3 linked regions of the Pelodiscus sinensis genome follow. The protein of the gene in region 2 interacts with the protein of the main gene of each other region in a biochemical or structural test. Links are inferred from orthologs where the notes say so. Each region holds a gene or a part of one and is shown on either strand. Other genes may lie near its edges.

Region 1 (3,747 bases), on a different chromosome or scaffold from region 2:
TTTAAATATTTTCCTATTCCATAGGGAGCGTTTTGTATGAAATATATTATTCAATTAAAGTTACCCAACAGACCAGGAGAACCTAAAAAAAAAAAAATCAGATTATATGATATGGTAAGAGTATTCTGAACTTACCTGGTCTTTCTATTTTGGCTTTTCCAATAGGAACAAGGAAGTCCTTTGACTGAGCTTCTTCTGACATTTCAAAAGGGACTCCATACATCAATTCATTTTCCAGCATCACAACTGAAAAAAGCATTGAGTGCTTATTTTGATGCACTTCTCCAGATGAAAGTATTATTACAACATCATCCGACCTCTCCTCCCTACCCTACTCTTTCCCCTTCCCCAATTCCTAGTGTGTTAGAGGGCACCGCTATACAAAGCTCCTCGTGGCTCACAAGGCAAACAATAAAACCATAGGTTAGCACATTTGTATCCGCGTGAAAAAGATGATTAACTTGAGCAGCTAGTAGCTCAGCACTGTTTTACAAGTTTACCCGAATGATCTTGTTAAGGTTAATTTTACCATGTTAAGCAATTAATATTTGGTGATCCAACACCAGTCAGTCCTATTATTGGTGTGGGGAAGGATCAAAAGGATGAGGTCCTTAAGGCAATACAGCATGTTCTACCTGGCTCCTATTACAAAAACAAAACATCCAGACCCCCCTCCTCTTGCTCTAAATTGAATATTAACAAGAGGAAGTAAAGTCAGGAGTTTATGCAAGATTTCTCCCTTGAAGTTCATGAAGTCTCCATAAAAGTCAAAATGACTTGTAAAGATTTTTGAAAAGGACTTTGGTATAAAAACTCTCAGTAATACTGAAGCTCATCTATTTAGGAGACACAACCTTCTCAGGGGGTCAGTCCAACAGAGTGGAAGGAACTCCACCAGGAACAAAAGTCTATCACAAGCCTTGCCACTTTCTGCTCCAAGTGCAAGGTACATTTCTATTACATATAAAAGAAAAAGCAAAGTCAAAGTTGTGGTACCAAACAAGACATTGCACAGCACCTACTTCTTCTAAGGAGAATCACCACCAAGTAAAATGTGCATAATCACATGTGCAACCATTAAAGCCACTGCATGAAGCAGAGTACCCCTTAAAATTCCCAAGTTCATTGTTGTGGCTAATGGGTAAAATAACTTTGACTTTTCAGCTCTATGAATGTAGATGCAATAAGACCACAGTATTTATTAAAAAGTTACATTCACCTGGATTGTCATCCCGGACTGATGCTTTTAGTAGGCCTTTAGCATCCTCTGAACTCCAAGGACTGACTACTTTCAGTCCAGGACAATGCCCATACCAAGCAGCAAAGCATTGAGAGTGTTGTGCTCCTACTCCAGCAGAGGCACCATTGGGACCTCTGAAGACAACCGGGACAGGCACCATGCCTGCAGACATGTAAAGTGTCTTACTAGCAGAATTTATAACTTGATCAATTGCTTGCATGGAGAAGTTGAAGGTCATGAATTCACAGATCGGCCTCAACCCAGCCTGTTAAATTAAGACAGCTATGTTAGTAGTTAAGCATTTAATTCACTAGTAACAAACAGTAAAAGTGTCTGCATTTAACAGTTTTTCTGTGAAATTAATTAAGCCAAGAAAAAACTGATCAGACTTCAACACCAGAAAGGACTTACCATGGCAGCGCCTACCGCAATTCCTGTAAAGCCCATCTGCAAAGGAAAAAGCAAGGAGGGATGAGTATGACTGCCAGCCCCGGACAAGGGGATGAGGACACTCACTGGCACGGTACCTCGGATATGGGCGTGTCCATCACTCTCTTGTCCCCGTACTTCTTCCAGAGACCGCGGCTGATCTACGAGAAGCAAAGCAAAAACGGGCGGCTAAGCGCGCGCTCCCCAGCTGGCGGGGGGGGGGGGGGGAGCCGGAGCCCGCTCACCTTGTACGCGCCGTCGTACTGCGCCACCTCCTCGCCCAGCAGGAACACGCGCTCGTCCCGCTCCAGCTCCTCGTCCAGCGCCTGGTTCAGCGCGTCGCGCACCGTCACCTGTGGCACAGGGCACCCGCTGAGCGCCGCGCGCCTCCCAGCCCCACCCCCGCCTTGCCCCGCGAGCCCTCACCTGCGGCACAGGGCACGCGCTGAGCGCCGCGCGCCTCCCAGCCCCGCCCCCGCCCTGCCCCGCGAGCCCTCACCTGCGGCACAGGGCACACGCTGAGCGCCGCGCGCCTCCCAGCCCCGCCCCCGCCTGGCCCCACGAGCCGTCACCTGGGGCACAGGGCACGCGCTGAGCGGCCCCGCCCTGCCCCGCGAGCCCTCACCTGCAGCACAGGGCACGCGCTGAGCGCCGCGCGCCTCCCAGCCCCGCCCCCGCCTTGCCCCGCGAGCCCTCACCTGGGGCACAGGGCACGCGCTGAGCGCCGCGCGCCTCCCGGCCCCGCCTGGCCCCACGAGCCGTCACCTGGGCGCAGGGCACGCGCTGAGCGCCGCGCGCCTCCCGGCCCCGCCCCACCGCCCTGCCCGCGGCCCGTTACCTGCACGGCGGCCGGCGCGGAGCCGTGGATCCCGCTCCGCAGCTGCAGCAGGCGGCCCGGGCCCTGCGGAGAGACGGGACGCGCGTGAGCGCCGAGCAGCGAGGGGAGGGGAGGGGAGGGGAGGGGGGCCAGGCCGACCCTACCTGCTGCGGCGCCCGTCGCACTAGTCCCCTCAGCGCTCCTGCGGCCGCCGCCATCTTGCCTCTGCCCTCTGCCGGCCGGGCCCGTACGTCACTACGCAACGCCCGGGCTGTCCAATCGCAGCTGGGCCCACCCGCACACGGGGGCGGAGCCGCCCGCCGCTCTCGCGAGAGGGGCCGAAGGGCTGTCCTTGCCTCGCTGCCGCCCCTCAGTGGATTGAGCGCGTTCTGCGAAGCCGCGGGCCGAACGTCCGCCTGCCCTGCGAGTACGGCGACGCGCATGGACCAAAACTAGCAGGGGGCGCCATCCTTTACAACTTTGCCTTTCTGGAGGGCAGCATTCCAGGTCTGCAGCTGCTACTATCCGACCTTTCCCGCTGGTTTGGGGGGTTTCAGCCAGGTCGGTGCACGCACGAAGCTGGGCTGCAGTTGTTATTCTTGGCCACAAGTCTTGAGTCTTTTTTTTTTTTTGGTTAATAGGTCTCATGCATCCGGTTCCTTGGTGCAGGGGTCTGAAACTTAGCAGGTGGTTGCTGTAGTTTGGGGGACGTGCCTGTGAAAATCGGCCCAAATCTGCTCACATTATGAGCCTCTAGTTATGGTAGGGAAGGCAGGCTGAAAAAGAGGCCGTGGGACACCACACCCCCTTCACAGTTCTGCTGTTGTGTTGTGTCACAGTGTTTGGGTGTAATGTCATGCTGTGAAGTCACAATGCTAGCATGAACCCACATGAATGGGGTTTCCAGGCAGCACCTGGAGACTTGTGGCTCCCCCTGGGACTATCCTCTGCACAGCCAGGCTGTGTTTTCTGTGTCAAAGTGCCTGTGCTGCTTCACTGGTATGGTGTCTCCATGTGATGTAACCATGAAGGCCTCAGAACTCCTTGTGTCTATCTGCGAGTTAATGAGCTGGGATAGATCCATGGAAATGGAGTTAAATCTGTGTATCTGAAGCAGAGGTCAGACTGGAAAAATCAAGGCTGGTAACACTCTTCTATGATCTGCCCACCACTTACTCTTCACCCACCTGTAACATCAAAACGAGACAAAGCTCAGAAGAGATTGTACTTTTTTTAAATAATATTTTCTCTCTCGCTGCAC
Region 2 (3,747 bases):
TCACAAGCAGGAGTAGTTATTTCAAAATAATAAGCCCATTATTTCGAATACCTTATTTCGAAATAAGGGGAGTTATTTCAAAATAACTCCCCAGCGGAGACATGCCCTAAGGGTAGCTGAAGGATTGGAACATTTAACCAACGGGGAAACTGAGGCAGAGACACCCTGAATAATAAAAATTAAGACCTTGATGCTAAAACCTGTGCTTGAGACCAACCTGGCACTATTTCTGAAGTTGGTGGCCTGCTGCTGGGGGCCTAAGCAGAACAGACGTACAGGTTTGATTGTGCTCTAAAGCCAACTTCCCAGCTAGGGAACAACCTCATGTTCCTCACCTGGCAAGTGATGACAAAACCTGACTTTTATATCTCACAACTCCCTCCCTCCTAGGGCATTCTGCGGGTCTGCATGAGTTTAAACTCAACCATGTTCATAGTATGTGTAGCATTTTTCCTTCATCAGTACATACAAGAATCACAGCATCTGCCTGTGAGTCATAAAACAAGCATCATAAAAGGAGCTACATTCCCCACAGGGGCAGCACGGTGGTGACCAGGGAGGGACTTGGTTGACAGCTGCAGAAGGATGCACTGAATCAGCACATCTGGGTTCAGTATTTAGCTTCCTGTAACCTTTCACCTTCCCAGTGCCCAACTGCGGAGCGGTCTTGGCACCAATGGGAGTGAATAGAACAGAAGAGACCCCCCAAGTGTCTGTGATTTTTCCCTACTCCTACCCTGCATCAGATCCTTTGTTCTATCCTATGCCCCCCATCTCTGTGCTGTCTTTTATCCAGTTATTCCCCCAAACTGCACCTCCACCCCCGCTATAACCCCCCCAGACTCCACAGACCCTACTGATCCCCCATCTTCTCCCCACCTTGCCACCAAAACCCTTTGCTCCCAGCCCCCCTCCACCTCCCTCCAGCCCTCCTTCCACCCTCCTACTCCCTCCCCCCAACCCCCTACTCCTCCCTCCACCCCCCTTCTCCCAGTCCCCCTCCAACTCCCTCCCCCCAACCCCCTCACTCCACCCCCTTCTCCCAGCCCCCCTCCACCTCTCCTACTCCCTCCCCCCAACCCCCTACTCCTCCCTCCACCCCCCTTCTCCCAGTCCCCCTCCAACTCCCTCCCCCCAACCCCCTCACTCCACCCCCCTGCTCCCAGCCCCCCTCCACCTCTCCTACTCCTCCCTCCACCCCCTCCCTGCCTGCCCCCAGCTCCTCCCTCCACCCCTCTCACTCCCCAGGACGCTGGCACGGGGAGGGCCTCTGCGCTTTGCGGCTCCTCGCGACACTGTCGCTGCCGTAAAGCGCGGTGGGCGCCCGGAGTCGGAGGGGAGCGAGGTCATTGCCGGAGCTGCCGGCGGGTCCCGGCTCCGCTGCAGCATGTGGCGCGTGATCGCGCGGCGCCTGGCCCCGTGCGCGGCCCCGCGGCGGGTGCCTGGCGGGGCGGGAGCGAGCCCGGGCCGGGGGGCCCGCGCCCTGAGCGGGGGCAGCCTGGGGCCCGCGCGGGGCCGGAGCAGCCTGGAACCGGGGCCCGGGCCCGCGGGGCTGCTGCTGCCGCCGAGGGAGCCCTGGCCCCGCCCCGCCCCCCGGCGGTGGTGCAGCCTCCCGCCCCACCAGAAGGTGAGGGGCCGGGACTCGAACCCCCGGGGCTGTGGGGGCCGCTCCCAGCCTCCCCCGGCCGGGGTCACCCCCTTGCTCCCCCCCCCCGCTGGGCTCGTGTCCTCCGCGACCCTGCGGCTGCTCCCTGAACCCCCACTGCACCCCCCCACTGAAACGTCCCCCCCACCCCACAGACTCGCCCGCCAGGCCTTGGAGCAGGGTCCGACTCTTCCTAGGCCCCCCAACCAGCAGGGCGTGACCCCGATCACCCTAGAAGCCGCTTGCTGAGAGCCCAGTAATCTGCCCTCGCTGAGAATGGATCTCCCGATACTGGGATTTGCCCTTGTCCCCCTGCCTTGCACCGCGTCATTAGCTGCCCTTTAGCGCTCAAGGGGATGAGTGCGGCGAGTCTGTCCCAGTTATGAGGCATATTGGGAAGAAGGGCTCTGAATAAATATTGTTGCATTAGCTTTATGGTTACTTTATGGTTGACACCTTGATTGTTTCTGGATACGAGAGCATGAACTGGCCTCTCACCTTTCTTGGTGGAAGGTTGTTTCAGGGCTGCTTGTAAAACATGGTAATTTTACTGTGACTGGGTTGTTCTTTTGCAGGTGGCTTTGCCGTCTCTTTCCCCTACAATGCAGATGGGGACTATCGCTCGGTGGGAGAAGAAGGAAGGGGAAAAGATCAGCGAGGGAGATCTGATTGCAGAGGTACTGTGGAGAGGTTACTCGCGACCAGGAGGACCAGTTATGGGACACCAAGCAGTGTTCCCTGTAAGCTGTGCACTTGTGCAGCTGCTCAGGAGAGATTCCAGTACTTCCCAGCTGATTAGCAGAGTGCCCACAGTTAGGTTTTTTGTTTCTACTGGTGGTGCACATTTCCACATATCGTGGTGTACATAAACTTTATTCCACATATTGATAGAAAAATTCCGCACGTGGATGGAAAAGCTTTAAGGGAACATTGGCACCAAGGGACAGTTCTTGTGGATGAGATCTCCCTTAGGGCCTCTCACTTTCTGGTGGGATGGGAAGCTACACCATCACTAGAGGACAAGACACGCTATCATTTCTAAAATTGCCCCCATACTAAGTACATGCCCCGGATTTTGTCTCAGGTCACCCCAAGCAGATGTAAATGTTCTGACTTCATCCTTACTTCTTATCTCTGATTCAGCATTGTAAGTTTGGCTCCCACCTCTCATCAGCCCATAATGCCAGCTTCTAGTAGCCAATTGTTAAATTTTCAAACAAGCACCTTATATAAAACAAGTTATACGTATACAAAACCCAAAGAGAGTCCTCACCCCAGACACCTGTGTTGGGAAAGGAAGGACTCTCTAGGTTTTTTTATATATATATGGCACCTGGCACAGTGGGGTTTTGATCAATGTCTGGGGCACCTAGGTACAATGAAATACAAATAATAAAAATATTCTTCTGAAGCCTTTTTATTGAAGGAATTAAAAACAGCCACAACCCCACTGCCTCTCCGCGTTGCCTGCTGTTTCTACCTCCTTATGAGAGCGATTGAACCTTATTTGCTCTACAGTGTCTTTTCCTTTTCAACCAAGTTGCTGCTGCCAGATGAGCTAATTCTCACCATGGCTTTATGCACCAGGAATCTTCACCTCTAACCCACAAACATCAAACTTCATGATTCTGAGCTGATGTGAAGGCTCCCCCCGCCCCTGCCCCATTACAAGATCATTCTCTTTCTGCAAAGGTGGAAACGGACAAAGCGACGGTGGGGTTTGAGAGTATGGAAGAATGTTACTTGGCCAAGATCCTGGTATCAGAAGGGACAAGGGATGTTCCCATTGGGTCTGTAATATGCATCACAGTTGAAAAGTAAGTGGATTGATCACATCTCACTAGAATACTGTTTTGGGAACCTGGCAGGCTGGGTGCTCTTGATGAAGAATTTTTTTCTGTATTATCTTCTTTCATTCCTGTTCTAGGCCTGAGTTTATTGATGCCTTTAAGAATTTTACCTTGGATTCCATAGCATCTGCTGTCCCAGCAGCCTCAGTGCCTCCCCCTCCAGCAGCAGCTCCCCCAACACCAGCTCAGCCTTCTGTGCAGGCTCCAGGAAGCTCTTACCCTCCTCACATGCAGGTAAAGCATATCCATATC
Region 3 (3,747 bases), on a different chromosome or scaffold from region 2:
CGGGGGATAATCTGCACGTCAGCTGCTTTCCCTGGGCGCAGGAGCCATTTCTCAGGCTCCCTCTGAGAATCAAACCAGGACCCCCCATTACTCGCGGCAGGCCAGAGGTACCATCAGACGGCAGCGTTCCCCGTAAGCTGGGCGCTTGTGCGGCCGCTCAAGAGAGGTTCAAACGCCGCCCAGTTGCTTAGCTGTGGGCGCTCGGCCGGGTTTTCATTGCTGCTGGCGGTGCACGTGCACATGCCCCCGTGCGCATCCTGTCCACAGATGGCAAACATGCACTAGGGATGTGGAATCAAATCAATTAACCGGCGAAGCCTACGGTTTAACCAGTTAACTGATGAAGCGGGATCCCACTCCCCCGAAGTGGGGCCGGCTTCTGTTCCCAGCACCCACCCCACACAAAGCTCTGCTGCTGGTGCCGCCCCCTCTCCCCACCTGGGGCAGCTGGCTCCTGACCCCACAGGACTGCACCAGCCCTCCGCCCGCTGTGAGCTGCTGCCAGACAGAGGTTACAGTCCCCAGTAAGCACCACTGACCTGGCTCCCTGGTCGCATCCCCCATCTGCACCTGGATGGGGGAGACGAGAGGGAAACTGCCGGCAGGTAGGGCAGGTGTCTGCCGCGGGGGCTAGGTGCGCTAGCGCTACAGGGCTGGGGCAGCACAGAGGTGACCCCAGAGAGCAGCGCCTGGCACACGTGGTACGTGCAGCATTCCGCACACGCAGTGCAGAAGCGTCGCTGTGCGTTCCTGAGCTCTGACGTCCTGTCCTTGGCTAAATACAGCACAGCCTGCTTGCGAGAGATCTGTCCCAACACTGGCAGCAGCTCCACGTTCTGCAAGGAACCCAGCCAACAAAACCGCCCCCTGGCCGGTCAAGGTCAGGGCCATGGGCCCCAATCTCCAGGCGGGTCTGGAGGAGGAAAACAATAGGGCGCGATGATCAGAGTCAGAGCAGAGGGCTCTAAGGAGACAGGTGGGAGGCTGGTAAACAAGGCCACAGCTGTGCACCCAACCGTGCAGCCGTAACCCGAGCCACGGCACGTTCCCAGCTGACCACCGGCACAGCCTGTTCCGCGGGCACCGGGTGCCGCTGCAGTGAGACCGGCCGGGAAGGAGAGGAGCGTGCACACCGCGCAGCATGCGTCGGCAGGCGGCCATGCAGCGCGAGCCAGCCAGGCACGGCCGGGGCCTTCTGCTTCCATTGCTGCCCAAAAGAGAAGTCGAGCGAAATGGGCACCAGGGACACTTAGTGGTGGGGGGCTGGGAGCCGCCTCCAGGCTGCAGGAGCCGTGAATGGTTCTAAGAGGCGACAAAGGGCACTGGACACAGTATGAGCACGCCCCCACTGCCAGCACACGCTCAGTCTCACTAACCCCATGCAATGGTGGGGGAAATTGAGGCACGGAGCTGAGAAGGGAGTCAGCAGCAGGGCCAGGAACAGGGCCCAGGAGCCCCATTCTAGCTAGCAGGCTGGGAAGTGCCCGGGAGAGGGGGGCGTTCTACCCCCATCCCAAAGGGATGTGCTCCCGCAAGAGCCGCCCCCCAGCCCCGACCCACTGAGTCGGGGGGGCTCATCCACCTCCCGCAAGAGCCACCCCCCAGCCCCGACCCACTGAGTCGGGGGGGCTCATCCACCTCCCGCAAGAGCCGCCCCCCAGCCCCGACCCACTGAGTCGGGGGGGCTCATCCACCTCCCGCAAGAGCCGCCCCCCAGCCCCGACCCACTGAGTCGGGGGCTCATCCACCTCCCGCAAGAGCCGCCCCCCAGCCCCGACCCACTGAGTCGGGGGGCTCATCCACCTCCCACAAGAGCCGCCCCCCAGCCCCGACCCACTGAGTCGGGGGCTCATCCACCTCCCGCAAGAGCCGCCCCCCAGCCCCGACCCACTGAGTCGGGGGGGCTCATCCACCTCCCGCAAGAGCCGCCCCCCAGCCCCGACCCACTGAGTCGGGGGCTCATCCACCTCCCGAAAGAGCCTCCCCCCAGCCCCAACCCACTGAGTCGGGGGGCTCATCCACCTCCCGCAAGAGCCGCCCCCCAGCCCCGACCCACTGAGTCGGGGGCTCATCCACCTCCCGAAAGAGCCGCCCCCCAGCCCCGACCCACTGAGTCGGGGGGGCTCATCCACCTCCCGCAAGAGCCGCCCCCCAGCCCCGACCCCTTACCCAGGGGGCAGCCTGCCCCACCTGTCTGAGCCCCCAGGACTCAGACCCCAGTCGGGCCACTCGACAGGCCCACCCACCCCACGGGCCCTTCGGGGCTACCCGGCTGGGGGCGGGGCCCTGGGGTATTTTCTTGGGGGTGGGGGCAGATATGGAGAGGGGGCAGGCGGGGCGATTAGTGGAGTTAAGGGGCGTCGTTACCTGGGGGTGGGGTTGGGGGCACATACCCGAGGGGCGGGGCGGAGAGCGGGGGGCGGGGCGCAGAGCGGGGGGCGGGGCGGTCCCGCGGCGGGGGGCGGGGCGCAGGGCGGGGGGCGGGGCGGTCCCGCGGCGGGGGGCGGGGCGCAGGGCGGGGGGCGGGGCGGTCCCGCGGCGGGGGGCGGGGCGGTCCCGCGGCGGGGGGCGGGGCGCAGAGCGGGGGGCGGGGCGGTCCCGCGGCGGGGGGCGGGGCGCAGGGCGGGGGGCGGGGCGGTCCCGCGGCGGGGGGCGGGGCGCAGGGCGGGGGGCGGGGCGGTCCCGCGGCGGGGGGCGGGGCGCAGAGCGGGGGGCGGTCCCGCGGCGGGGGGCGGGGCGGTCCCGGGGCGGGGCGCAGAGCGGGGGGCGGTCCCGCGGCGGGGGGCGGGGCGGTCCCGCGGCGGGGGGCGGGGCGTACCGAAGTCCAGGAACTGCTGGATGGAGAGCGGCGAGGGCGAGAACTTGCTGAAGCGATCGATGTAGGCCCGCGCCGCGCGCCCCAGCAGCGCCCGCAGCAGCCGCATCGCGCCGCGCTCCCACCGACTGACAGCTCGCCCCGCCCCCGGCCCCGCCCCGCCAATGGCAGCGCGCCGGCCCACGTGCCCCGCGCCCGCCCCGCCCCCTCCCTTAGCCCCGCCCCTCACGCTGCCTGCCCGCCCCGCCCCTTGCTCCCCGCGGCCGTAGCGGGGAAGGGCCCTGATCTCGGGGCGTCCGGAGCAGCCTCCCCCCAGCCTGACTGTCCGTGTGTGTGTGTGTGTGTGTGTGTGTGTGTGTGTGGGTCTGGGTGTGTGTGTGTGTGTGTGTGTGTGTGGGTCTGGGTGCGTGTATCTGTCTGGGTGTGTGTGTCTGGGTGTGTGTGTGTGTGTGTGTATCTGTCTGGGTGTGTGTGTGTGTGTGTGTGTCTGTCTGGGTCTGGGTGTGTGTGTGTGTGTCTGGGTGCGTGTATCTGTCCGTGTGTGTGTGTGTGTGTGTGTCTGTCTGGGTCTGGGTGTGTGTGTGTGTCTGTGTGTGTGTGTCTGGGTGCGTGTATCTGTCTGTGTGTGTGTGTCTGGGTGTGTGTGTGTGTGTGTGTGTGTGTGTCTGTGTGTGTGTCTGGGTGCGTGTATCTGTCTGGGTGTGTGTGTGTGTGTCTGTGTGTGTGTGTCTGGGTGCGTGTGTCTGTCTGTGTGTGTGTCTGGGTGTGTGTGTGTGTGTGTGTGTCTGTGTGTGTGTCTGGGTGCGTGTATCTGTCTGGGTGTGTGTGTGTGTCTGTGTGTATCTGTGTGTGTATGTCTGTGTGTGTGTGTGTATCTGTGTGCGTGTGTCTGTCTGTGTGTGTGCATCTGTGTGTGTGTCTGCGTGTGTCTG

Evidence for each region.
Region 1: the proteins of DLAT (region 2) and PDHB form a complex in vitro, tested with the Homo sapiens proteins (2 studies listed by BioGRID and IntAct, with this or other methods). The link is inferred for Pelodiscus sinensis from reciprocal best matches to the Homo sapiens genes DLAT and PDHB.
Region 3: the proteins of DLAT (region 2) and PDK2 form a complex in vitro, tested with the Homo sapiens proteins (2 studies listed by BioGRID). The link is inferred for Pelodiscus sinensis from reciprocal best matches to the Homo sapiens genes DLAT and PDK2.

What each region holds. Positions count from the first base shown.
Region 1 is NC_134721.1:461,013-464,759, forward strand, and holds the start of PDHB (pyruvate dehydrogenase E1 component subunit beta, mitochondrial), read right to left. Parts: upstream 2,854-3,747; 5' UTR 2,705-2,853; coding exon 2,651-2,704; intron 2,571-2,650; coding exon 2,461-2,570; intron 2,109-2,460; coding exon 2,096-2,108; intron 2,023-2,095; coding exon 1,915-2,022; intron 1,831-1,914; coding exon 1,768-1,830; intron 1,688-1,767; coding exon 1,652-1,687; intron 1,506-1,651; coding exon 1,220-1,505; intron 247-1,219; coding exon 136-246; intron 1-135. UniProt on the Homo sapiens protein: The pyruvate dehydrogenase complex catalyzes the overall conversion of pyruvate to acetyl-CoA and CO(2), and thereby links the glycolytic pathway to the tricarboxylic cycle.
Region 2 is NC_134736.1:6,916,909-6,920,655, forward strand, and holds the start of DLAT (dihydrolipoyllysine-residue acetyltransferase component of pyruvate dehydrogenase complex, mitochondrial), read left to right. Parts: upstream 1-1,308; 5' UTR 1,309-1,387; coding exon 1,388-1,627; intron 1,628-2,220; coding exon 2,221-2,322; intron 2,323-3,337; coding exon 3,338-3,462; intron 3,463-3,572; coding exon 3,573-3,729; intron 3,730-3,747.
Region 3 is NC_134739.1:15,279,397-15,283,143, reverse strand, and holds the start of PDK2 (pyruvate dehydrogenase kinase, isozyme 2), read right to left. Parts: upstream 2,978-3,747; 5' UTR 2,925-2,977; coding exon 2,819-2,924; intron 1-2,818. UniProt on the Homo sapiens protein: Kinase that plays a key role in the regulation of glucose and fatty acid metabolism and homeostasis via phosphorylation of the pyruvate dehydrogenase subunits PDHA1 and PDHA2.